3 linked regions of the Macaca mulatta genome follow. The protein of the gene in region 1 interacts with the protein of each later gene in a pairwise test. Links are inferred from orthologs where the notes say so. Each region holds a gene or a part of one and is shown in the gene's direction. Other genes may lie near its edges.

The links. The genes of interacting proteins can lie anywhere in the genome.
Region 2: the proteins of UTP14A (region 1) and GADD45G interact in binary tests that used the Homo sapiens proteins (3 or more experiments, as listed by UniProt). The link is inferred for Macaca mulatta from reciprocal best matches to the Homo sapiens genes UTP14A and GADD45G.
Region 3: the proteins of UTP14A (region 1) and APLP1 interact in a two-hybrid assay, tested with the Homo sapiens proteins (2 studies listed by BioGRID and IntAct). The link is inferred for Macaca mulatta from reciprocal best matches to the Homo sapiens genes UTP14A and APLP1.

What each region holds. Positions count from the first base shown.
Region 1 is NC_133426.1:136,379,583-136,387,165, forward strand, and holds the end of UTP14A (U3 small nucleolar RNA-associated protein 14 homolog A), read left to right. Parts: intron 1-1,369; coding exon 1,370-1,767; intron 1,768-2,490; coding exon 2,491-2,684; intron 2,685-2,813; coding exon 2,814-2,913; intron 2,914-5,644; coding exon 5,645-5,917; 3' UTR 5,918-6,061; downstream 6,062-7,583. UniProt on the Homo sapiens protein: May be required for ribosome biogenesis.
Region 2 is NC_133420.1:120,270,228-120,277,548, forward strand, and holds GADD45G (growth arrest and DNA damage-inducible protein GADD45 gamma), read left to right. Parts: upstream 1-3,694; 5' UTR 3,695-3,798; coding exon 3,799-3,851; intron 3,852-4,107; coding exon 4,108-4,209; intron 4,210-4,342; coding exon 4,343-4,556; intron 4,557-4,644; coding exon 4,645-4,755; 3' UTR 4,756-5,238; downstream 5,239-7,321. UniProt on the Homo sapiens protein: Involved in the regulation of growth and apoptosis. Mediates activation of stress-responsive MTK1/MEKK4 MAPKKK.
Region 3 is NC_133424.1:47,112,517-47,120,608, forward strand, and holds the start of APLP1 (amyloid beta precursor like protein 1), read left to right. Parts: upstream 1-3,709; 5' UTR 3,710-3,772; coding exon 3,773-3,919; coding exon of another isoform or gene 3,920-3,966; intron 3,967-4,748; coding exon of another isoform or gene 4,749-4,804; coding exon 4,805-4,948; exon of another isoform or gene 4,949-4,992; intron 4,993-5,838; exon of another isoform or gene 5,839-5,949; coding exon 5,950-6,082; intron 6,083-6,289; coding exon 6,290-6,402; intron 6,403-6,661; coding exon 6,662-6,795; intron 6,796-6,907; coding exon 6,908-7,092; intron 7,093-7,543; coding exon 7,544-7,674; intron 7,675-8,092. Other genes in the region: KIRREL2 (kin of IRRE-like protein 2), read left to right, coding at 1,287-1,622. UniProt on the Homo sapiens protein: May play a role in postsynaptic function. The C-terminal gamma-secretase processed fragment, ALID1, activates transcription activation through APBB1 (Fe65) binding. Couples to JIP signal transduction through C-terminal binding.

The sequences.
Region 1 (7,583 bases):
GTTTTTATAAGCAGTAAAGCATAAATTACAATGAAGTTGCATTCAGAAGCCACCTGTTAAAGTGGCTTCCTTTTTTAAAATTTGGAACTTGGGGCAATCTTCCCAAGTGGGGTTTACTGCACGAGGAACTTAAGCCACAGTCCCAGTCATACAGTGGATCATTGGCAAAGCTGGGAATAGGACCCAGGACGTCTGCTTTCCAACATGCTACTTTTCTTTTTTTTTTTTGAGACAGGTCTTGCCCTGTTTGCCCAGGCTAGTATGCAGCGGCACAGTCACAGCTCCCTGCAGCCTTGACTTTCTGGCTCCAGCGATCCTCCCAGCTTAGCCTCCCAAGTAGCTGGAACTACAGATGCACACTGCCATGCCTGGAAATTTTTTGTTGTTGGGGGAGTGGAGGTGGTAGAGATGAGTTCTCACTATGTTGCTTAGGCTGGTCTCGAACTCCTGGGCTCAAGCAGTCCTCCCCACTCGGCCTCCCAAAATGCTGGCATTACAGGCGTGAGCCACCATATCCAACATCGCACATGCTCCGTTTTTTTTTTTTTTTTTTTTTTTTTGAGACAGAGTCTTGCTCTGTCACCCAGGCTGGAGTGCAGTGGCGCAATCTCAGTTCACTGCAACCTCCGCCTACCTGGTTCAAGTGATTCTCCTGCCTTAGCCTCCCAAGTAGCTAGACTACAGGCACATGCCACCATGCCTGGATAATTTTTTGTATTTTTAGTAGAGACAGGGTTTCACCGTGTTAGCCAGGTCTCGATCTCCTGACCTCATGATCTGCCCGCCTCGGCTTCCCAAAGTGCTGGGATTACAGGCATGAGCCACCGCGCCTGGCCACATGCTACTTTTAATTACCAAACTCCGTTGCCTGCTATGATTAGTGTACTCTCTAGGAGATTCAATGTACAGAATCTTCTTTTCCCTGTTTGTCCTCGTTAGAATGTCTTATGTGGTACCTAGCACTTGGTGGGTGCTCAACAAATGCTTACCAACCAGACAACGTACATACCTCCTTTTCCTGACACAGCTTTCTTTTTTTTTTTTTTTTTTTTTTTTTTTTTTTTTTTTGAGACGGAGTCTCGCTCTGTTGCCCAGGCTGGAGTGCAGTGGCGCGATCTCGGCTCACTGCAAGCTCCGCCTCCCAGGTTTATGCCATTCTCCTGCCTCAGCCTCCTGAGTAGCAGGGACTACAGGCGCCCGCCACCATGCCCAGCTAATTTTTTGTATTTTTAGTAGAGACAGGGTTTCACCGTGGTCTCGATCTCCTGACCTTGTGATCTGCCTGCCTCGGCCTCCCAAAGTGCTGGGATTACAGGCGTGAGCCACCGCGCCCGGCCTTTTCTGACAGCTTTCATTCTTTTTCCCCCAGATTCCAGCAGCCAGGAAGTGCTGTCTGAATTGAGAGTACTATCTCAGAAATTGAAGGAAAATGATCAGTCCAGGAAGCAAAAAGCAAGTTCAGAGGGGACTATTCCCCAGGTCCAGAGAGAGGAACCTGCCACAGAAGAAGAGGAGCCCCTGTTGCTACAGAGGCCAGAGAGAGTACAGACGCTGGAAGAACTAGAAGAGCTGGGAAAAGAAGAATGTTTTCAAAATAAGGAGCTTTCCAGACCTGTGTTAGAAGGGCAGCAGTCAGAGAGGACCCCAAATAATCGCCCTGATGCCCCTAAGAAGAAAAAGAAGGAGCAAATGATCGACCTACAGAACCTCCTAACCACACAGTCTCCCTCCGTGAAGTCTTTGGCAGTTCCCACAATAGAGGAGCTGGTGAGCAGAGCCAGGGTGGTGGGCCATTGTTCAGAAAGTGTCCTTGCACAAGGAGTAATGAAGCTTTGTTTCGCTGCGGGCACATTTCAGTAATTGAGAAGTCCAGAATAGTATAGGGCCAGGCTGGTCCTAAAACAGTGATGTTTTAATAGATGCAGATCTATGGGTGCTGTCAAGACCCCTATTTCCGAAACCCTGATCCACCAAAACTCCTCTGGGGTGACTCTAATACTGCTCTCAGAGGAAAGAGGGAGTAACTCAGAGTTCTGACCAGATCCCAGGCAGGACAACTCGAAGGTGAGTCATTGAACTGTTGCCAAAGTTTTATTCAGTGGGATCTCAAATGGTCTAAGACTCCCCAGTTAATCTGAAACTCACTGAAGCATCCTGGCACCTGTCTTTTAAGGGATATAAGCTAGACGAAGCCTACAGTCTGGCCACTTAGAGCTCCTGCTGCTAACACGGGCCATTCTTTCCTCCACCCTGCAGCTTCGTTACTCAAAAGTTTAAAATTGTGTCATATGATAATGAGCTAGAGATACTTACCCTAGAGGGAAGAAAACTGGAGCATGATTGGCTGCGCACTAGTTTGTATCTCAAGACCATCATTGTTCAGCACTTCCCTCTAGGGGGCGCTAAAATGTCACGACCCAAAATTCAACCGTTCTCGCCATGAACCACAGCTCATAAGCCAAGCTGTAGCTCTCGCTTGTTTCTCCCCAGGAAGATGAAGAGGAGAGAAACCAAAGGCAGATGATAAAGGAAGCTTTTGCTGGGGATGATGTCATCAGAGATTTCTTGAAAGAGAAGAGGGAAGCCGTGGAGGCTAGTAAGCCAAAGGACGTGGACCTGACGCTACCTGGCTGGGGCGAGTGGGGTGGTGTGGGCCTAAAGCCCAGTGCCAAGAAAAGACGCCGGTAAGAATGCGGAAGAAAGTCTGTCAAAAGGGCACTAGGTTCTCCCCCATCGCCCTTCGGTGTCCTCCCTACCCTTTTGACTAAGTCCTTAATGCTCCTAGTCAGATGTCCTGTTGTTTTGCTTTCCAGGTTTCTCATTAAAGCCCCTGAGGGTCCTCCAAGAAAAGATAAGAATTTGCCAAATGTGATTATTAATGAGAAGCGCAACATCCACACAGCGGCTCATCAGGTGAGAACTTAGAGAGTTCTTTAGCTGCCTGACTTTCTTGCTTGAGAGGAGTATTCTAGTGATCTGTAGTCAAGAGGGACGTGTGATCTTGACCACAGAATCAAATCTATTGTTTTTGCTGAATGGCTGTTACATTTATCATCTCAGATAGACTATGCTGTTTTAATTACTAGCCAGGAAAAAAGTTTAGAGTCAAGGTAATGCTCAAACAGAGGCTATAAGGTTTGAGCTGTAGCTTAAGAAAAATGAAGACAAACCGGTACTTGTTCAGGAGAATGAGAAGATTGTAAGTTGTGTCACATGATAACGAGCTGGGGATGTTTACAAGAGAAGAAAATTTGAGCGTGATTACGGTGTTCAAGTATATCGAAGGTTACTGTATGAAGTCACATAAAGTAGAAGTTAGAGGAGATACAGAATTCAAGGCTGCTCTGGGAGTATGAGTACATGTAAAGGGGACTCAAGAATGAGATTGGACTAGATGACCTTTATGTTCCCTTCAATTCTGACATCTGTCCCCAGCCAGTATATTGAAATGAGTTACATTTTTCCCTCTGAAGGAATAAGGAACTAATGGCTACAGAACAGAGGTAAGAAGATATACATTTCAGTAACATTCTTTTTTATCTTATTTTGTGAACCAATCACTGCAGAAACTGAAACGTAACTACTGCAGTCCCAATTAAGGCTATATAACTAGAAAATAGGCAGTTACACGATAAGGGAAGGGGGGAAAGGGTGCTTCAGTGGGCCAGGATTCCAGGTGATGGGTAGAGTATAGAGCTCAATAAAGACGACCCTTCCCTTCCAGGGGTCTATTTGTTTTTTTAATGCAGTCATGGCAAACTGACAAATAGTTTTCTAGGAATCTCCCCTGATTTTCATCTTTTTAATAAGTTACTGCAGGTTCCAACATGCAGTAGAATAAAGTGCTTCAAGGTGCCTAGGGGGGACTTCTGAGACTGAATACTTTGTCCAGGTGTTCTCTTTGTCCAGGTGTTCTCTTTTTCTGTTGCCCTGGTTGACAAGCACAGATGTAGCCGTCAACCCAAATAAGACATTCCCTTAACTTAAAGAGAATTTGTTTCCTTCGCTACTACCAGGACCACCAGATAGTGCTTAGCTTCTCTTGAGTATTCCACTGAATGTTTCCAGAGACTACTGATTTGCTTTTTTTGTTTTTGTTTTGTTTTCAGATGGAGTCTCACTCTGTCACCCAGGCTGGAATGCAGTGGCATGATCCCAGCTCACTGCAACCTCCACCTCCCAGGTTCAAGCTATTCTCCTGTCTCAACCTCCTGAGTAGCTGGGATTACAGGCATGCGCCACTACGCCCAGCTTATTTTTGTATTAGTAGAGACGGGGTTTCAGCATGTTAGACAGGCTGGTCTTGAACTCCTGACCTCAAGTGATCTGCCTGCCTCGGTCTCCCAAAGTGCGGGGATTACAGGTGTGAGCCACCGTGCCCTGCCAAAGACTACTGATTTTTACATCCCCATTTTCTGCTTACGTGTCTTCCTCCTTTGGCCATTGCGGAAGTGTTGAAAGATTATTTAAATGTCTGAAGGTAGAAATGTGGTGGAGGAATACCAGGCAAGGAAACAGGAGCTTTGGGTTCTGTTCTCCAATGCTGCTCCTCATTTACTTAGCTCCATCATTTCCTCCCTCTAAGCCAAATTTTCAGGCCAGAGATGACCATTGCCAATATCTAGGGCCTTCCAGCTCTACATTCTGTGGTGCCAAAAGAAGATGAAGCCAAGTGGGCCGGGTGTGGTGGCTCACGCCTGTAATCCCAGCACTTTGGGAGGCCGACGTGGGCGGATCATGAGGTCAGGAGATCGAGACCATCCTGGCTAACACGGTGAAACCCTGTCTCTACTAAAAAAAAAAATTCAAAAATATTAGCCGGGCATGGTGGCAGGCACCTGTAGTCCCAGCTACTCAGGAGGCTGAGGCAGGAGAATGGCGTGAACCCAGGAGGCAGAGCTTGCAGTGAGCTGAGATCACACCACTGCACTCCAGCCTGGGCGACAGCGAGACTCCATCTCAAAAAAAAAAAAAAAAAAAAAAAAAAAAAACCCAAACAAAAACAAACAAACAAAAAAGATGAAACTTTAAGTGTAATGGCCTGGTAGAGTTCAGGATTCGGGTTCCTTGAAACATCAATCCTAAGAGAGGGAAGGAGGAGACTGAGAGCATAAAGAGGGTAGAAAAGTTATAAAATCCACAGGGATACAAAATGGTCTGGATTCTTGCAGTCACAGTGTTACATAGGAAAGCTCACTCTGGGACAACAGCCCTGGAGCTCCTGTAGCTGGATAGGGACAGTGTCACTTGTAATCCCAGCTACTTGGTAGGCAGAGGTTGCAGTGAGCAGAGATCACCCCACTGCACTCCAGCCTGGGCAACAGAGTGAGACTCTGTCTCAAAAAAGAAAACAAAAACAAAGACAGAAGTAGTGTCAGGTTGGTTTTTTTAGACCCTGAATTGTTGAATAAACAGGGGATCCAGAGCCAACTTAGGCCCCCCTACTCCCAAATGTCATCAAGCAGATTTGACTCCTAAGAGCAGATGGGAGCGATGGGATGCCTTAACCTCTCAGTCTCTTCAGTTGCAGTCATCATGTGGAACCGTGGCCTGTACCAAAATAGTACCTGATGAGAGTTGTCAGAACAGTGTATAACTGCACCCCAGGCCTGCCTCATACCAAATCATTCTCCTTCCTTTCCAGGTACGAGTGCTTCCATATCCATTTACCCACCATTGGCAATTTGAAAGGACCATCCAGACCCCCATAGGATCCACATGGAACACCCAGAGGGCTTTCCAAAAGCTGACTACTCCCAAGGTCGTCACCAAGCCAGGCCATATCATTAACCCCATAAAAGCAGAGGATGTGGGCTACCGGTCTTCCTCAAGGTCGGACCTGTCTGTCATACAGAGGAATCCAAAACGAATCACCACACGTCACAAAAAACAGCTGAAGAAAAGCTCTGTAGATTGAGTTGCTGGAGGAGTGACAGCCAGGAGCCCTGACTTCACTTCCTTTGGTCCACTTTTACTCTGGTACAGGGTGGATTCCAAAACTGGCTCAGTACATTGCATGTAGTTGAGCCACATTTTAAAAATAAAGGCATTTTTTAATCTATTTACCCGGAGTATATGTTGCATTGTCCCCCAGTGGAATCATTTCATTCAAGTCAGACACCTTTGGATTCTCCAGCATTGCATTTCTCGAGTTGCACTTGTCAGGGACTTCCTTTTCTTACCAAGGATTATGTAGTTGGTCCTAAATCGAAGTGGAGAAAATTCACTGTAGTCTGTAATCAAATATATCACATCAGATATGATCCACCATTGATAACTGCCAACTGGAAGAGACAGGGTTAATAATGATAAAATATTGTATATTTTAACCTCTGAACCTAGAAAGAGGATGTACAAACTGCAATTGGATTCTGCCCTAGACTGATCCTAAGACCAGGACGGTGCCAAAGCTGGGTTCTGTCCCCACAAGTCTAGCCACAGCCATTTTTTTCACGTGTGTCAGCTTCCCGGCTTGTACAGGCTGCTGTCTACAATATCTCGCATATAACCTTCTACTTATTTTCTCATAAGAAGACCAGGAGGTTTTACCCTTATTTTGTAGATAAAGGTAGATGTGATTTCAGAAGTAAACCTCTACTGCCTTTCCTTCCTAACTCAGGGCCCACTCCTCACCATTGATTGAAAGTGTAGTTTATTCAAGCATTGCTTTGCTATGTGACAGTTCACATGGGCTTCTCAGCTCTGAGGAACTTGGCCTGCCTTTGGATGGCAAGAAATATATGGAAAGAGCCCCTGCAGCTCAATTTCCTAACAAGGAATTTGGGAAACCTAATTCCAAAATGATACCACTACTGCACCTTGCCTCCTGCCTTGGAGATTCAGTCCCATCCCCAGCATTCTTAGACCACAGTGGGTTCGTTTTTGTGTCACAGGTCCCTCTAAAAATATGCTGAACGTTATGAACTATCTCCAGAAAAATGTGCACACACACACACATTTGTATGGCATTTTACATAAAGTTTCAGGGGTTTTCAAGACATTTGGAATCCCTGGGCCAAAAGTTGTACCACTCCCAAATTTTCTTTTGCAATCCCCCCAACAGATACGGCCTTCTCTTCTGAGCACACCACTCTCCAAATCAGTTCCAAAATGTTTAGACCTCAATGGTAGCTAGTCCCAGTATCTTCACGGGAGAAAATTCTCAGAATAGAGCGATGTATCTAGTGTTACACATCAAACTGAAGTGAAAAGCCAAAGGATAAATTTCTATGAATTGCCCAGCGGTCCCCTGTGGCCCCCTACCATTGCTCATCCTCTGGAAAGGGAAGAGAAATGAGTATGTTGAGCAGTGTTCAGTGCCCAAAAGGCATGCTTAAGTTATCCATTGGCTTGAGATTATCCACGATCCACTCGCTGGTTGACACTTAAGTCAGTAGCCAGTGATAGGGGATGCGGGACCCCTGCCCACTCCTGCCTCCGTTTAAGAGACCACAACATTCTCTTGCACTCTTGAGCACAAAGCTGCTACCTCTGTCCCACCCACCCCCCAAATTGAAGCACCCAATCAAGTGTCCCCGGTAAACGGCCAATCCCCGTCTACTTTCCCGGGACCCTCTTCAGCT
Region 2 (7,321 bases), on another chromosome or scaffold:
GTACATCATGGCCAAATCCACCCATTTTCCAGGAGAAGCTAGAAATCCAGATGTTTATATGAATGCAGCTAACTTTGAAAAGTGGTAGTGAATCTGACTTTGCCTAAGACACCTCATAGGCCAAAGAAATCCCACCTGCAGCCTGCATGGGGCTGGTGTGCAGCCAGCAGCTTGCATCCCACAGCCTCTGGCTGGACAGTAGTGGCTTTGGGCACATTGCTTGGGTAGGATAAGGGCATACACCTACTATTTAATAACGATGTTGTGCACTCTCCACACATAAGTAACGTGTGAGAATGCAACAAAGAATGTCTCCTAAAGCGTACTGCTTACTTAAAGCTCATTTCCTTCTGTACCCAGATGAAAGACATCTGCCCATCAATGACCTAGTCAAGCCATGAAAGAATGAGAAGCACATTTCAGAGAATGTGTTAATAAAAACAGTTCAACTATAAACATTTCCAAAAAGGTTTTAAAATAGAGCATCTCTGAGGATTTCCCTTTAAGTAAGTCACCATCACCTGCATTATTGAGATTTAGGGGAAGGTTTAGGGGTGCAGTCACAGGAAGCTCAGGGCAACATCTCAGCCACCTGTGACCTGAAGCACAGAGCAGGCTAAGTCCCCTGGGAGAGCTGTGGCCACAAAGCCGTGTAGTGGGACATTCTGGATCCTCACACTTCTTCTAGTGGGCACTGCCCACTCCTCAACACAGGGGCATCCCGGGCCCAGAAGCTTTGAGCATGTGACTGAACTGAAGACACATGGTGGTGGGTCTGCTGGAAGGCCAACTTTGCCTGCAGACAAAATGGTTCTTCCCTAATTGAGATGGAGGCTTTGGGGCCATTGGGACTGACCTAATAAAGCAAAGCGGTGCTGTATCATGTGTCAAAAAGGCAGTTTCCTGAAATTGAATACTTTAAAAATGTGAGCAGAGTAGAACAGCCCCAGGGGTTGTCAGTCATCCCTCCTGGTCCGGGCTAGCTCAGCAGGGACTGGAAACGCACCCGCCCCTGATCCAAAGTCGGGAGTATTCAGTAGTGGCCTTCCTCCGGGAGGAGGGGCTGAGGCTTCAGGCCTAGCCTTTGTTTTCTCTGGCCTGGCATGTGGGCAGATTTTAGTGTTATACATTGGAGGGGTGGAGTGCTAGCATGTTAAGTAAATTTTATTTCCAGCATTTCCTGGAGACCTGTAACTAATACATTAAAAAAATGTTTAATAGTAGGCCGGGTGCAGTTGCTCATATCGGTTATCCCAGCACTTTGGGAGGCCGAGGTGGGTGGATGACGAGGTCAGGAGTTTGAGACCAGCCTGGCCAACATGGTGAAACCCCGTCTCTACTAAAAATACAAAAATTAACCCGGCGTGGTGGCACACCTGTAGTCCCAGCTACTCGGGAGGTCGAGGCAGGAGAATCGCTTGAACCCGGGAGGCGGAGGTGGCAGTGAGCTGAGATCGGCTCACTGCACTCTGCCTGGGCGACAGAGCGAGACTCCGTCTTAGAAAAGAAAAGAAAAGAAAAAAGAAAAGAAAAGAAGAGAAAAGTTTAATAGTTTTAGAAGAGTAATACCTATGTTCCAATCACTTAAAATTAACGTATTTTATCCAATCAAGGCATATCATCATTTTATACACCAAGAAAGAAAGAAAAGAAACTAGCGAACAAACGGGGCATAATGCCTCCTGGCCCCGCTTCCCCCTATGCCCACGTCCTTAGGAGACACCTCTGGAGTTCAGAAATGCTAGGAGAGCAAGTTCTTCATTCTTAGAATCCAGGATCGGCCGGGCTTTTGCAGCTCTCCTCTGCCGGGAAGCCGCTGGGGGGCGCAAGACGCCAGCTTCTCACTTTGGCAGAAGCGCCTGCCTGTAAGCGCAGAATGAAAACTTCCCCATAGCAAGTTCAGAAGTACCTTGTACATTCACCACCCACGTGAAGAAAGCCTGAATGAAAGGAACAAAGAAAGCTTCGGCGTTGTTTACTTTCCCATTATCGCCCCAGTCTTGCGGCAGGGCCCGGGTTTCCATCCAATCCACCCGGCCCGCCACTGTCCCGGCCAGTCTCCAAGGCCTCACCCAAAAAAGGGGAGCACTGAGGTGTCCCCAGCGCGCCTTTCCACGTAGAACAGAAGGCGCAGACACCAAAAGTGCTGCGGTCAGTGGGTGAATCCTCTGAAAGTGCCAGCGTGTATGGTCAAGCGGCAGCAACCTCTAGCCTATTAAACTCTCTCAAGATCCAGACTTTTATTCTATTGCTGGAAAAAAGGCTTTTTACATATGCGTATTTAAGTAATTAAAATATTTCAACATGGCATAAGACGTAGGGGCTCTTACTCCATCAGTACTGGATGGGAATCTCCTTTTGCCCTCTACTCCCCAGGGTAACTGCAGCCCCACCTGAATGCGTTTTGCAGCCCTTACTGGGGTTCCTATTAATGCGCAGCTTGGACAGGGCTCAGTGGCCCCGGCCCGGCAGCTCCGTGGCCGACCCCCTCCACCGCCCTTCCCCCGCACCAGGCCAATGCAAGGGTGTGTGTGTTGGGGGAGGGGAGGAGAAAAGGGATTCAGGATCTTTTTAACCTGCCTGTAGATGGCGCCCCGGGAAACAGATTCCGAACTACATCCCCTAAGCTCCAAGGGCCGCAGCCGCGGGGTCCCGGCCAGAGGGCGTCCAGTCGCGAAGACTGCGCAGCAGCTCTCTGTGCTTCCCAACTCGCGCGGCTGCTCGGCACCCGTGCGAGGAACGGGTGGAAGGGAATTACATGTAGCAGGGCCAGTACAGGCGGCGCGTACTCAGGGACCACGGAGTGGCACTCAGCCTCGACCCCACGCGCCAGGCAGCCCGGCGACCCCCACGCGCGGCGGGGGCCTGCCCACCCCACCCGGCGGCAGGTGGACAGTGTTGCTATGAAGAGAAAGCCTCGATTGTCCCTACTGCAAACCGCCACACGCCAGACCTCTGCTATTGTGCGCCCTCCATAGAAATGCAAACGAGCGGCGTGCGCCGGCCGCAATCTGCTCGCCCCTGCCCGCCCCCTTCTCCGGCGCCCCGCTGCTCTCGGCCAAGGGCGGGGAGGTGGGGTAGGATCTTCCAGCGACTACTCAATGTACACATTGAGTATGCCTGGCAGGCATTACCAGCGCGCTCCGGACGCTAGTGGTCAGCTGCAGGGGGCTGTGCCCACTGCCTTTTGCAAGCCTTTAACTGGCGTTACCTGTTTTTACCTTAATTTCCTGCTCCAATGCAACAGTCTCATAAACTTCAAATTAAAGAAAAGAAACAAATAGAAAGGTAGCAATAAAAAATGGAAATAAAATTCCTTTTGATTCTATAAAGGTGCTTTTCGCAAATTGCAGCATCATATTAGCAAACAAGGTTTTTGTGGATTGGCTTTTTTTTTTTTTACTTTTTCCTTTTAAGGACTTCAAAAAAAAAAAAAAAAAAAAAAAGAAAGCCAGGCGAGATGAAATCTGCAGGCTCCAGTCTGCCTGGTAACACCCCAACAAAAGCGGCAGATTTGAGGCATTGTCATCCCCCGCACCCCTCCCCACGTGGCCTTCTGGCACGAGCCGCGGGCTCGCGGTCTCATTTACATCAGAAAGCGGGTGCCGGCCAATAGGCGGGCAGCCTCGCGCCAGCTGGCGGCGCCGCACCCATCCGCCTATATAAGGACGCGCAGCGTAGCCCGGGCGCACTCGCTGGTGGTGGGCGCGCCGTGCTGAGCTCTTGGTCTCAGGGTGTTCGCCCGCGTCCCCTCCGCGCTCTCCGCTTGTGGATAACTTGCTGTTGTTTGATCGCACTATGACTCTGGAAGAAGTCCGCGGCCAGGACACAGTTCCGGAAAGCACAGACAGGTGGGTTTCAGGGCGCTGAGAAAGCGGCTGGTCAGTCGGCGACCGTCAGGGTTCTCCAGGGTGGGAATCCGCGGGATAGGAGCCGAGCCCGGGGGTGCGGGCGTCAGATCCGGGTTGGAGAGCCGGGGTGCGGGCGCCAAGCCGGGATTGGAGTGTGGTTGGAGTTGGAGAGCCAAGGGTGAATCCCCGTGGCCGGGGCTCGGGGCTCCACCGCGCCCCACGGCCGTCTCCCGCTCACTAGCTGGCTCCTCCGCAGGATGCAGGGTGCCGGGAAAGCGCTGCACGAGTTGCTGCTGTCCGCGCAGCGTCAGGGCTGCCTCACTGCCGGCGTCTACGAGTCAGCCAAAGTCCTGAACGTGTAAGTGTAGACGCGACCCAGGCTGGGAGACAGGGGCGGGGATGAATGGCGAAGAGACCGGCGGATGGGAGGGGTGGCTGCGGGAGAACTTGGTTTGCCGGTTCTGACCTTGGTCCCCGTCTTGCCCTCGCAGGGACCCCGACAATGTGACCTTCTGCGTGCTGGCTGCCGATGAGGAGGACGAGGGCGACATCGCGCTGCAGATCCATTTTACGCTGATCCAGGCTTTCTGCTGCGAGAACGACATCGACATAGTGCGCGTGGGCGATGTGCAGCGGCTGGCGGCTATCGTGGGCGCCGGCGAGGAGGCGGGCGCGCCGGGCGACCTGCACTGCATCCTCATTTCGGTGAGTACAGCCCCGTCCGGTCCCCGCCCCGGTGTAGTTCCCGCCTCGGCCCGCGGCCAGCCAGGCTGACCCTGCTCTTTCTCAGCAGAACCCCAACGAGGACGCCTGGAAGGATCCCGCCTTGGAGAAGCTCAGCCTGTTTTGCGAGGAGAGCCGCAGCGTTAACGACTGGGTGCCCAGCATCACCCTCCCCGAGTGACAGCCCGGCGGGGACCTTGGTCTGATCGACGTGGTGACGCCCCGGGGCGCCTAGAGCGCGGCTGGCTCTGTGGAGGGGCCCTCCGAGGGTGCCCGAGTGCGGCGTGGAGACTGGCAGGCGGGGGGGGCGCCTGGAGAGTGAGGAGGCGCGGCCTCTCGAGGAGGGGCCCGGCGGCGGCAGGGCCAGGCTGGCCCGAGCTGAGGACTCTGCAAGTGTCTGGAGCGGCTGCTCGCCCAGGAAGGCCTAGGCTAGGACGTTGGCCTCAGGGCCAGGAAGGACAGACTGGCCGGGCAGGCGTGACTCAGCAGCCTGCGCTCGGCAGGAAGGAGCGGCGCCCTGGACTTGGTACAGTTGCAGGAGCGTGAAGGACTTAGCCAACTGCGCTGCTTTTTCAAAACGGATCCGGGCAATGCTTCGTTTTCTAAAGGATGCTGCTGTTGAAGCTTTGAATTTTACAATAAACTTTTTGAAACAAACTTATGCTCTTTATTGAGGGTAGGGGATCTTTGTGTCGGGGGAGGTGGTGCGCAGGGTTTCAGAGGATTGCTGGAACTCCGTGGAACTGATGGCACCTGTTCCGTCTTCCTGTCGGGCAAGAATGACAGGCTCCTCCGCGCTGGCAGAGGGAGGGCATGCTGCCCAGTGCTAGGGTAGAACTTGAGCCTGGCTCCTACTTTTCTCCTTTTAGGAAGATTTTAAACTTGCAAAACAGGAGCATACTTGAGAAAAGACATCAGTGCAGCAGCTGAAGTCTTGCCTTCCAAGGCGATAACAGTGACCTCTGCCTCCCCTCCCCCTCCCTCGGCCCTCCTCCCCCTCCCTCCCACAGCTGCTTATCAGAACAGCTTGCCGGAGGCCGCAGGCTTTCCTGCACAATGAGCATTGCCTTCTGCAGGCCCTGCCCTTTGTGGTCCCTGAGGACGGTGGCAGGCTGCTCCTGCTCTTGGGGACTTTTTCCTCTTAGATGCTCTGACAAAAAGCAATGCTACAAAGGTATTAATACCAAATATGACATTGATGACTGCATTTAAGTATGAGTCATTACTTTGTCATGGCTGTGATCGAACTTGGAAGATCTGAGAAAAAATTGGAAGGCAGCATCTATATAAATAGGCATGAGCAATTCTGAGGGGGCCTGGCATCTGCTATCTACTATTTTGAGTGTTCTCTGCCCACATCAGAGTTACGAGGATTGCTGCTATTCACAATTCCGTTTAAAGACTCATAGGAAAAAAAAAATTAAATATTTTAAGCCAAGACTTTCTTTAAGAAGGAAGGAGGGGGAAATGTCCTGATCGAATCAATCTTTTTTTATGAGACAGTATGGCTTGAGTTGGTTCTGTGTCTAACTAGTTGCTTCATCTGGGGAAATACATGTGGGGCCCTTGTGCTCTCAGCTAGGCTGCCAAGCAGGCCGAGCCTTCTGGGAAAAGGACGCGTGGTGTGCTGTCTTCAGTCCTTGGGGTGGCTGATTTACCTTGTTGAGTGCCACTTCCTAAAATTCTCTCCAAATTACAGGAGCATTCTTGAGGCAACAGGAAAACTACTGAATTACTCTTCTTGCCATGAAAGCATCCTGTTTTCCTTTTATCAGCTCCTAAAAACATCTGCTGCTCAATGGGACAAAAGCCCAGATAAAAAGTTCAGTTGTGTTTGTGCCCAATTTTCATGACTATTTTACCTATTTGCTGCTTGAAGTCTTAAGGTTTTCTTATTGAGGTAGTCTTGGGGTGGGCCTACCAGTCTGTGTTCCCGCAAAATGACCAGAACATGCTATTGGAAACACAAAGTAGACATGATTACTTTAAATGAGTAAATTCAGCAGAACATTATACAGAGCAGTTAGGCAGACCCTCCTGTTGGCCAAGCAAGCCTTGCAGAACATGAGGTTGCAAGCCCTTGGTTTTTTGATTAGAGCTTGTTGTGAGGCCACCTGTTAGAGCTCCAGAATTTGCAGGGAAAAAAATGCATGATGGAACACAGTAGCATGCCCAAAAGTTGTGCTAAACTTTTTTTTTTTTCTTTTTGATGAACTGGTGTTTAATGCTATTAACATGAACTAACCCAGAAGGCAGATAATAAAATGCCCAGTGTTTATAAACACATAATTGCATTTAATACTTCCAACAACCCTAAGTGATCATGCATATATAAGCCCTTAATGCATGGTAATTGTCACAACATATGTGTTGAGGTGACCCAGAGAGACAAGCACAATGCCTGGCATCTGGAAATCACTGAATGAATGTTAATGACAGTAATACTTAAAAGCTAATGAAGACATTTGTCTCAGAGCACAGAACTCCACGTGAACTAGTGGGTTTCGGACCAGCCATCTGGTTTCAGGACCAACACGTTGCTGCCATGAACTTCCAGGTGCTGGAGCACTTGCAGCAGGTTTATTTTGGAAAGAAGACTATTTTCATTGGATAACTTTCTACCTTTATAAGTTATATGTATTAATTGCAGGAAAATTATAAAATACATAACCATTAAAGAAATAAGTAAAAGCACCTGTAACTGACCATCAGCAAGTTTTAGTGTATTAATAATTCCTTCTGAACTT
Region 3 (8,092 bases), on another chromosome or scaffold:
GTCTATGTTCAGCGTGCACATATTGTCTTGATAAACATCTTAAATAACAGAGAACATTGTTCGAGAGCAGAGAACCGGTCTGACCACAAATTTACCAGGGCAGAGATTTTCCCCACCCTAGTAAGCCTGAGGGTACTACAAGAGACCAGTGCATATTTCAGTCCTTATCTCAACCACATAAGACAGACATTCCCAGAGTTGGACGTTTACAGACCTCCCCCCAGGAAGACATTCCTTTCCCAGGGTATTAATATTAATATTCCTTGCTATGAAAAGAATTTAGTGATATCTCTCCTACTTGCACATCCGTTTATAGGCTCTCTGCAAAAAGAAAAATGAAGCTCTTTTTGCCCAACCCCGCAGGCAGTCAGACGTTATGGTTGTCTTCCCTTGTTCTCCAAAAATAGCTGTTATTCTGTTCTTTTTCAAGGTGCACTGATTTCATATTGTTCAAACACACATGTTTTACAATCAATTTGTATAGTTAACACAATTATCACAGTGGTCCTGAGGTGACATACATCCTCAGTTTATGAAGATAACAGGATTAAGAGATTAAAGACAGGCATAAAAAATTATAAAAGTATATTCGGGAACTGATAAATGTCCATATTAAAGTGATCACAATTTATGTACCTCTGCCGTGGCTCCAGCTGGTCCCTCTGTTCAGGGTCCCTGACTTCCCGCAACATGCTTCCATCATGACAGCCCGATCCTTCTGCCTGTGTTCCACCCATCACAACTATGACCACTCTGATCTGGGCTTCCTTATCCCGCTCGCTATGCTGAGGGCTCTGCCATCACAGCCCCTGTCACTGCCTATGACTTTCCCAGGCACGGCCCTGACCCTTCTGGGTACTGTCTCATGATTTGTCATTTTTCCCTTGGTGTGAGGACAGGGTTCAGTTCTATCTTAGTGACATGCCTTGTAGCAGCAACACAGGGCATGACACTGAATCAAAGCCTAGAGGCTGTTGGGCAGGTGAGTGCCTCTCTCCTGTTCCTTCTGCATCTTCCACACTGACACCCCTCAGCAGGCCTATATCCCTCTGTCTCTACCTTTCTCTGCCCATGTCCTATCCCTTTGCCTCTTGTCACTGTTCTTCTGTCTCACTTTCTCTCTCTCCCAGTCCATGTGTGTCTCTGTGTCTCTGCCCATTCCTGTCACTTTTTGTTTCTCTCAAGGTCTGGTGTATTTCAGTGTGTGACCCTCAGTGTCACCCATCAGTGACCCTCATCCCCCCTGCATGCTCACAGACCTTACTGAGTCCCATTTGTCCCCTCAGGACCCAACCAACGGTTACTACAAGGTCCGAGGAGTCAGTGTGAGCCTGAGCCTTGGCGAAGCCCCTGGAGGAGGCCTCTTCCTGCCACCACCCTCCCCCATTGGGCCCCCAGGGGCCCCCACCTTCTATGACTTCAACCCACACCTGGGCATGGTACCCCCCTGCAGACTTTACAGAACCCAGGCAGGCTACCTCACCACACCCCACCCTCGAGCTTTCACCAGCTACATCAAACCCGCATCTTTTGGGCCCCCAGATCTGGCCCCCGGGACTCCCCCTTTCCCATATGCTGTTTTCCCCACACCTAGCCACCCGCGTCTCCAGACTCATGTGTGACATCTCTCCAGTGGAAGAGTCCTGGGATCTCCAACTTTCCATAATGGATTGTCCTGATTTCTGAGGAGTCAGGATAAGTTGGCGACCTTACTCCTCCAAAATTGAACACTAGGGGAGGGAAAGATCATTACATTTGTCAGGAGTATTTGTATACAGTCAGCTCAGTCAAAGGGGATGCCCCAAGTGGGAGCAACATGGCCACCCAATAGGCCCACCTATGTCCCAGTGTAAAAGAGATTCAAGATGGCAGGTAGGCCCTTTGAGGAGAGAGGGGGACAGGGCAGTGGGTGCTGGGAGTTTGGGGCTGGGATGGAAGTTGTTTCTAGCCACTGAAAGAAGATATTTCAAGATGACCATCTGCATTGAGAAGAAAGGTAGCATAGGATAGATGAAAATGAAGAGCATACCAGGCCCCACTGTGGCTCTCCCTGAGGGAAACTTCGCTCGGCCAATGGAAATGCAGCCAAGATGGCCGTGTACTCCCTAGGAACCCAAAATGACCACCATCTTGATTTCACTTTCCCTAAAGACTCAGAAAGACTTGGACCCAAGGAGTGGGCATATGGTGAGAATTAGCACTGTTGGGGCAAAAGGGAATCTTGGGATAAAAATATTTATGTTTAATAATTAAAAAAAAGTCAAAGAGGCAAGTGTGTCTTAGGGAGTCTACTGGCATTATTACCCTCCATCAAGGAAGGGGTCCATTAGACCTGTCCCAAGGTCTCTCCTCTACCCTAGCCTATAAGGTGGCTGTAGAAGCAAAACTGTGAGCCACCTCTCAGCCTCTTGCTACCTGCAAAGCACTCTAGACTCTTTATTTATTTTTTTTTTCTTGAGACAAGGTCTGGCTCTATGGCCCAGGCTGGAGTGCAGTGGCACCATCTCAGCTCACTGCTACATCTGCATCCTGGGCTCAAGCCATCCTTCCACCTCAGCCTCCCAAGTAGCTGGGACTACAGGTGCACACCACCACACCCAGCTAATTTTTGTATTTGTTTGTAGAGACAGGATTTCATCCTGTTGGCCAGGCTGGTCTCAAACTCCTGACCTCAAGTGATACGCCTACCTAGGCCTCCCAAAGTGCTGGTATTACAGGCGTGAGCCATTGTGCCCAGTCATGGACTCTTTTAATATACATCTTCATACACACACGCACACACACACACACACACACACACGAGTTGCAAACAGAAAAGACACACACATTGGCATGTATGCACAGACACACGCATAGATGTCCACACAGTTGCACACATGTGACAGGGCTGCCCCAGGGGTCCTGGGAAAGACAGAGTTCTACACTCTCATTAGAGGAGACAAACGAGTGAGCCCTGAAGTGGGACAGAGAAGGAGACTATGGGCATGAAAATGGCAATCCCCTGGTCCTTACAGCAAGGGTGGAGATCCAGACCCTAATCCTGGGGCGCTGCATCCACAGTGGGCATAGTGCTGGTGCCTGCTTGGGTGATCCTTAAAGAAAGGTCCCGGGGGCTTTGGTTCATGGATCCTTGAGCTAGGAGTTAAAGATCCAGGCCCCTGGGACCCTTGGGAAGCAGAGCAGGAAGACTGAACTCCTGGTTCTGAGGGAGAATGGGCTGGGGGCTTGGTCTCTGGTCCTGAGAGAGAAGGTGCCCGGACTTCTGGATCTGAAAGAGGAGGGGACTGGGTCTCAACTGCTGCCATCTTGACGGGACATTTTGGAGGCCTGTATTCCTGAGCCCTCAACAGAGGAATTTACTAGGGGACGGGGGTCTCTGATGCTTGCATCCTTGGAGAAGGACAAAACTGTGAGTGTCTGGGTCTAAAGAGGGTGAGAGTCCTGCGGGAGGACTCAAAATCCACAACGGGCTGAGCCCATAGCAGGACTCCTGGCTGGGCCCTTCATGGGGCGGGACGCCTGGAATCTCCAGGGGCGGGGGCCTGGCGCAGGCTCCCGCCCGGGGTTCCAGAGCTGCTCCACTCTGCGCGGAGCCGCCACGCTATTGTCCTGGCCAGGAAGGCGGGGCCGGCGCGGGGCGTGGCTGGCGGCGCCGGCGCAGCCCGGGGGCGGCGGGAGGAGGAGGTGGCGGCGGTGGCGCTGGGAGCTCCTGTCACCGCTGGGGCCGGGCCGGGCGGGAGTGCAGGGGACGTGAGGGCTCAAGGGCCGGGACATGGGGCCAGCCAGCCCCGCTGCTCGCGGTCTAAGTCGCCGCCCGGGCCAGCCGCCGCTGCCGCTGCTGCTGCCACTATTGCTGCTGCTTCTGCGCGCGCAGCCCGCCATCGGGAGCCTGGCCGGTGGGAGCCCCGGCGCGGCCGAGGTGAGGCCGGGCCGGGTCCTGGGGGATGGGGGAAGGGGCGGGACCGGGTCTTTGGACGCCAGCGCGGACATGTACAGGACAGAAAGCGCGGTCTTTCCAGCCAGGTGGTCAGCCCCCAGGCGCCCCCAACCGCATTTATGAACCCAGGGTTCCAGGCCCCAGCTCCCCCATCCTCCGACGTCCCAGCCCCCTCCCACCCCGAGCATAGGAACTGGTCTATTCAGAGCCCCTGGTCCCAGAAGTCCAGCCCCCTCTCCAGACCCAGGTGACTAGGTCCCAACCCCCTCCCTCCTGGACATAGGACCCACCAAGCAGCGAGGCACTTAGATCCAATAATCCAGACCCCTTGTATTCTCTGGACCCATATGGAGGCCCTTGCAGCCTCCCAGGACCCAGGAGTCCGGTCCTTCAGTCACCACCCACCCCAACCAGATGTAGCTCTCCAGTCCTCAAGGACCTGGTGTCCAGGACTGTAGGCCCCTGAAGCCAGGCCTTATCAGCTTTGCACCCTGCAACCGGAGCCTGAGCAAGGGATGGAGGGAGGAGGGGCCAGAACGCCTGGGTTCAGGCCTCCTCCGCGATTCAGGTTTAACCCCTTCGGGCTCCAGAGCGGCTGAGCTGGGGTCGGGGCGGAGTCTGTCTCCGCGGCAACAAGGCAGAAAGAATCCCGGGGGACCCGGGTCGCCATAGCAACGGGAGAGCTAGGGCGCCCCCGCCCTACGGGAGCTGTTTCCCAGGGAACGGTGCCTCCATGGAGGCGGTGTGCACAACGGTGCTTGGGGGAGGGGGCTGGTGCTGGGGGTCTCGGTCCTAGGGAGCAAAGAACCAGGGGACCCTCATGCCAACGCCCCCCGGGCCCTCATTATCCCCTCCACTTCCATCCAGGCCCAGGGGTCGGCCCAGGTGGCTGGACTATGCGGGCGCCTAACCCTTCACCGGGACCTGCGCACCGGCCGCTGGGAACCAGACCCACAGCGCTCTCGACGCTGTCTCCGGGACCCGCAGCGCGTGCTGGAGTACTGCAGACAGGTGGGCGGGGCCGAGCGGGAGGGGCGGGGCCAGCGGGAAAGCGGGCCCCAAACGAGGCGGGGCCGCCCGTAGAAAGCTACACTTGAAAAAGGCGTGGTCCAAGGTGCCGCGGGATCTAAGACGTGGAAGCTAGCGGACGTGGCCAATAAAGAGGCGCAACTATGCTAGGGCAGGGGACCTGTTTTGAGATACTAAGTCAGGAAAGGGGGAGAACCGCGAGATAGCCAGAGAAGAAGTGGAATTTAGGAATCTGGTGGTCTTTGTAAAAAGCAGAGGTGTAGTGGGGAGTGGCGAAAGGATAGGCGGGGCTAAGACAGAAAGAGACCTTAAGGACCAGCGAGATGGGGAAAGGGGTGGCGCCCAATGAAAGCGCGGAGAGCTGGGGGGCGTGGCCACGAAAAGACAAGTCTGTAATGGGAAGGGAGAGCTTTGGAGAGGCGAAATAGAGGAAAAGGCAGGGCTAAAAGGAGGGTGAGACCTTTGGGGAGACGAATCTGACTGCGGGGAGGGGTGACCAGAGAGGTGGGCTTAGAGGGACCTTCAGAAAGAAACAGCACAGGAAAAAAGATAGCCTTGAAAACGGACCTGGCCGGGCGCAGTGGCTCACGCCTGTCATCGCAGCACTTGGGGAGGCGGAGGCGGACGGATCACCTGAGGTCAGAAGTTCGAGACCAGCCTGGCCAACATGGCGAAACCCTGTCTTTACTAAAAATACAAAAATTAGCCGGGCATGGTGGTGCGTGCCTGTAATCCCAACTACTCGGGAGGCTGAGACAGGAGAATAGCTTGAACCTGGGAGGAGGAAGTTGCAGTGAGCCGAGATTGTACCATTGCACTCCAGCCTGGGCGACAAGAGCAAATCTCCGAAAGAGAGAAAGAGAGAAAGACAGAGAGAGAGAGAGAAAGGAGGGAGGGAGGGAAGAAAGGGGACCTGACTACTGGAGAGGGGTGGCTGGCAGAGGCGGGGCTGTGGGCTGATTGCCCCCATTTAACCCCCCCAGATGTACCCGGAGCTGCAGATCGCACGTGTAGAGCAGGCTACCCAGGCCATCCCCATGGAGCGCTGGTGCGGGGGTGCCCGGAGCGGCAGCTGCACCCACCCCCACCACCAGGTTGTGCCCTTCCGCTGCCTGCGTGAGTCCCAGGCGGGGAGAGGGGAACTGAGGTGGGAGTTTCCGAGGGGCAAAATTCTGAGCCCCTCTCTCGGGCCCACATTAAGGGGGTGGGTGCTTGTGTCCTAAGTGGGGCAGAGAAGCCTCTGAGGATAAAATATCTGGATTCTGAGGAGGGTGGGGTTGGTGCTGTAGGAGGGTCTCACCCTGGTGTCCCGTGCTTCCCCAGCTGGTGAATTTGTGAGCGAGGCCCTGCTGGTGCCTGAAGGCTGCCGGTTCTTGCACCAGGAGCGCATGGACCAATGCGAGAGTTCAACCCGGAGGCATCAGGAGGCACAGGAGGTCAGGACCTTGGCCCACCCGTCCCCAGCCCCCAGAACCCAGGAACCAGGACCCCAACACCCTCCTCCACCAGAACCGAGGGTCTGGGCCACCAGTATCCTCTTCCCACTTGGGATCTAAGAATTTCATCCCCCAACCCCTTCCTCCAGAACCAGGAATCCAGGCTCCCAGCCTCATCAACCCCCAACCCAGGCAGCCCAGCTCCCCATCTACCCCTCCTACCCCACAATCCTGGCATCTGGGTCCACTCTTCCTACAGGCCTGCAGCTCCCAGGGCCTCATCCTGCACGGCTCGGGCATGCTTTTACCCTGTGGCTCGGATCGGTTCCGTGGTGTGGAGTATGTGTGCTGTCCCCCTCCAGGGACCCCCGACCCATCTGGGACAGCAGTTGGGTGAGTGAGAGGGAACCCTCCATGCCCATCCCAAGGTTCCTGAGGCAGGGGATGGAAGCCTGGGAGCCTGGGCCTGGGTTCTTATTGCCTGGGTCCTCTCCTGCTCCCTCAGTGACCCCTCCGCCCGGTCCTGGCCCCCGGGGAGCAGAGTAGAGGGGGCTGAGGATGAGGAAGAGGAGGAATCCTTCCCACAGCCAGTAGACGATTACTTCGTGGAGCCTCCACAGGCTGAAGAGGAAGAAGAGGAGGAAAGGGTCCCACCCCCAAGCTCCCATACACTTGCAGTGGTCAGCAAAGGTGAGGCAGTCTCTGAACCTCTGGGGCCTCTCCACCATAGAGGGAGAAACATCTGGGGGAGTGTTGCCGGGGGCTGTTTTTGGGAGGGACCTATGAGGGAAAGGCCCAACTGAGGAGAAAAGATGAGAGTATCTTTAGATAAAACAGAGGTAGAAGAGCTAACCTGCCAAGGGAGGGGGTGGTTTGAGGGTACTTGGGAGTAGAGGGGCCATTGGGTAGGTCCTGAGGATCATTTCAGGAAAGCTTGGAAGATGGTGTAATGGATTCCTAAGCTTTGCAAGAAAAGGCTAGGCCCAGTCCAGAACTACATCTCCCATAATGCCAGGCAGCAGAGGTGGCTAAACTGGGTGCATGATGGTCTCCGGTGCACTCTAGGAAATGTGGTTCTCTAAGTAGAAAAGGCGACCTGGAGGTGGGCTGCAGACTGACCTCCTGATCCCTGGTCTTGCAGTCACTCCCACCCCGAGGCCCACAGATGGTGTGGATATTTACTTTGGCATGCCTGGGGAAATCAGTGAGCACGAGGGGTTCCTGAGGGCCAAGATGGACCTGGAGGAGCGTAGGATGCGCCAGATTAATGAGGTGATGATACCGGGGGCCCCAGGACCCCCTACAGTACAGAGCTCCCTAAATACCAGGAAACTCCTCCAGGACACATTGATACTACCTCCAAAGGCTCCCTAAGCCCCTTTGACCTTGAGCTCTCAACACCATCCCCTAAGATGACCAGAGATCCATGGCCCATCTATAATCCTACTGAGACACCACCAGATTCTATGGAAACTCTGGTCTATGATACGCTTTCACTTTACTGGTTTTTGTTGTTGTTGTTGTGATGGAGTTTCGCTCTTAACACCCAGGCTGGAGTGCAATGGTGGGATCTCGGCCCACTGCAACCTCTGCCTCCTGGGCTCCAGTGATTCCCCTGCCTCAGTCTCCTGAGTAGCTGGAATTACAGGCACCTGCCACCACGCCCAGCTAATTTTTGTATTTTTAGTAA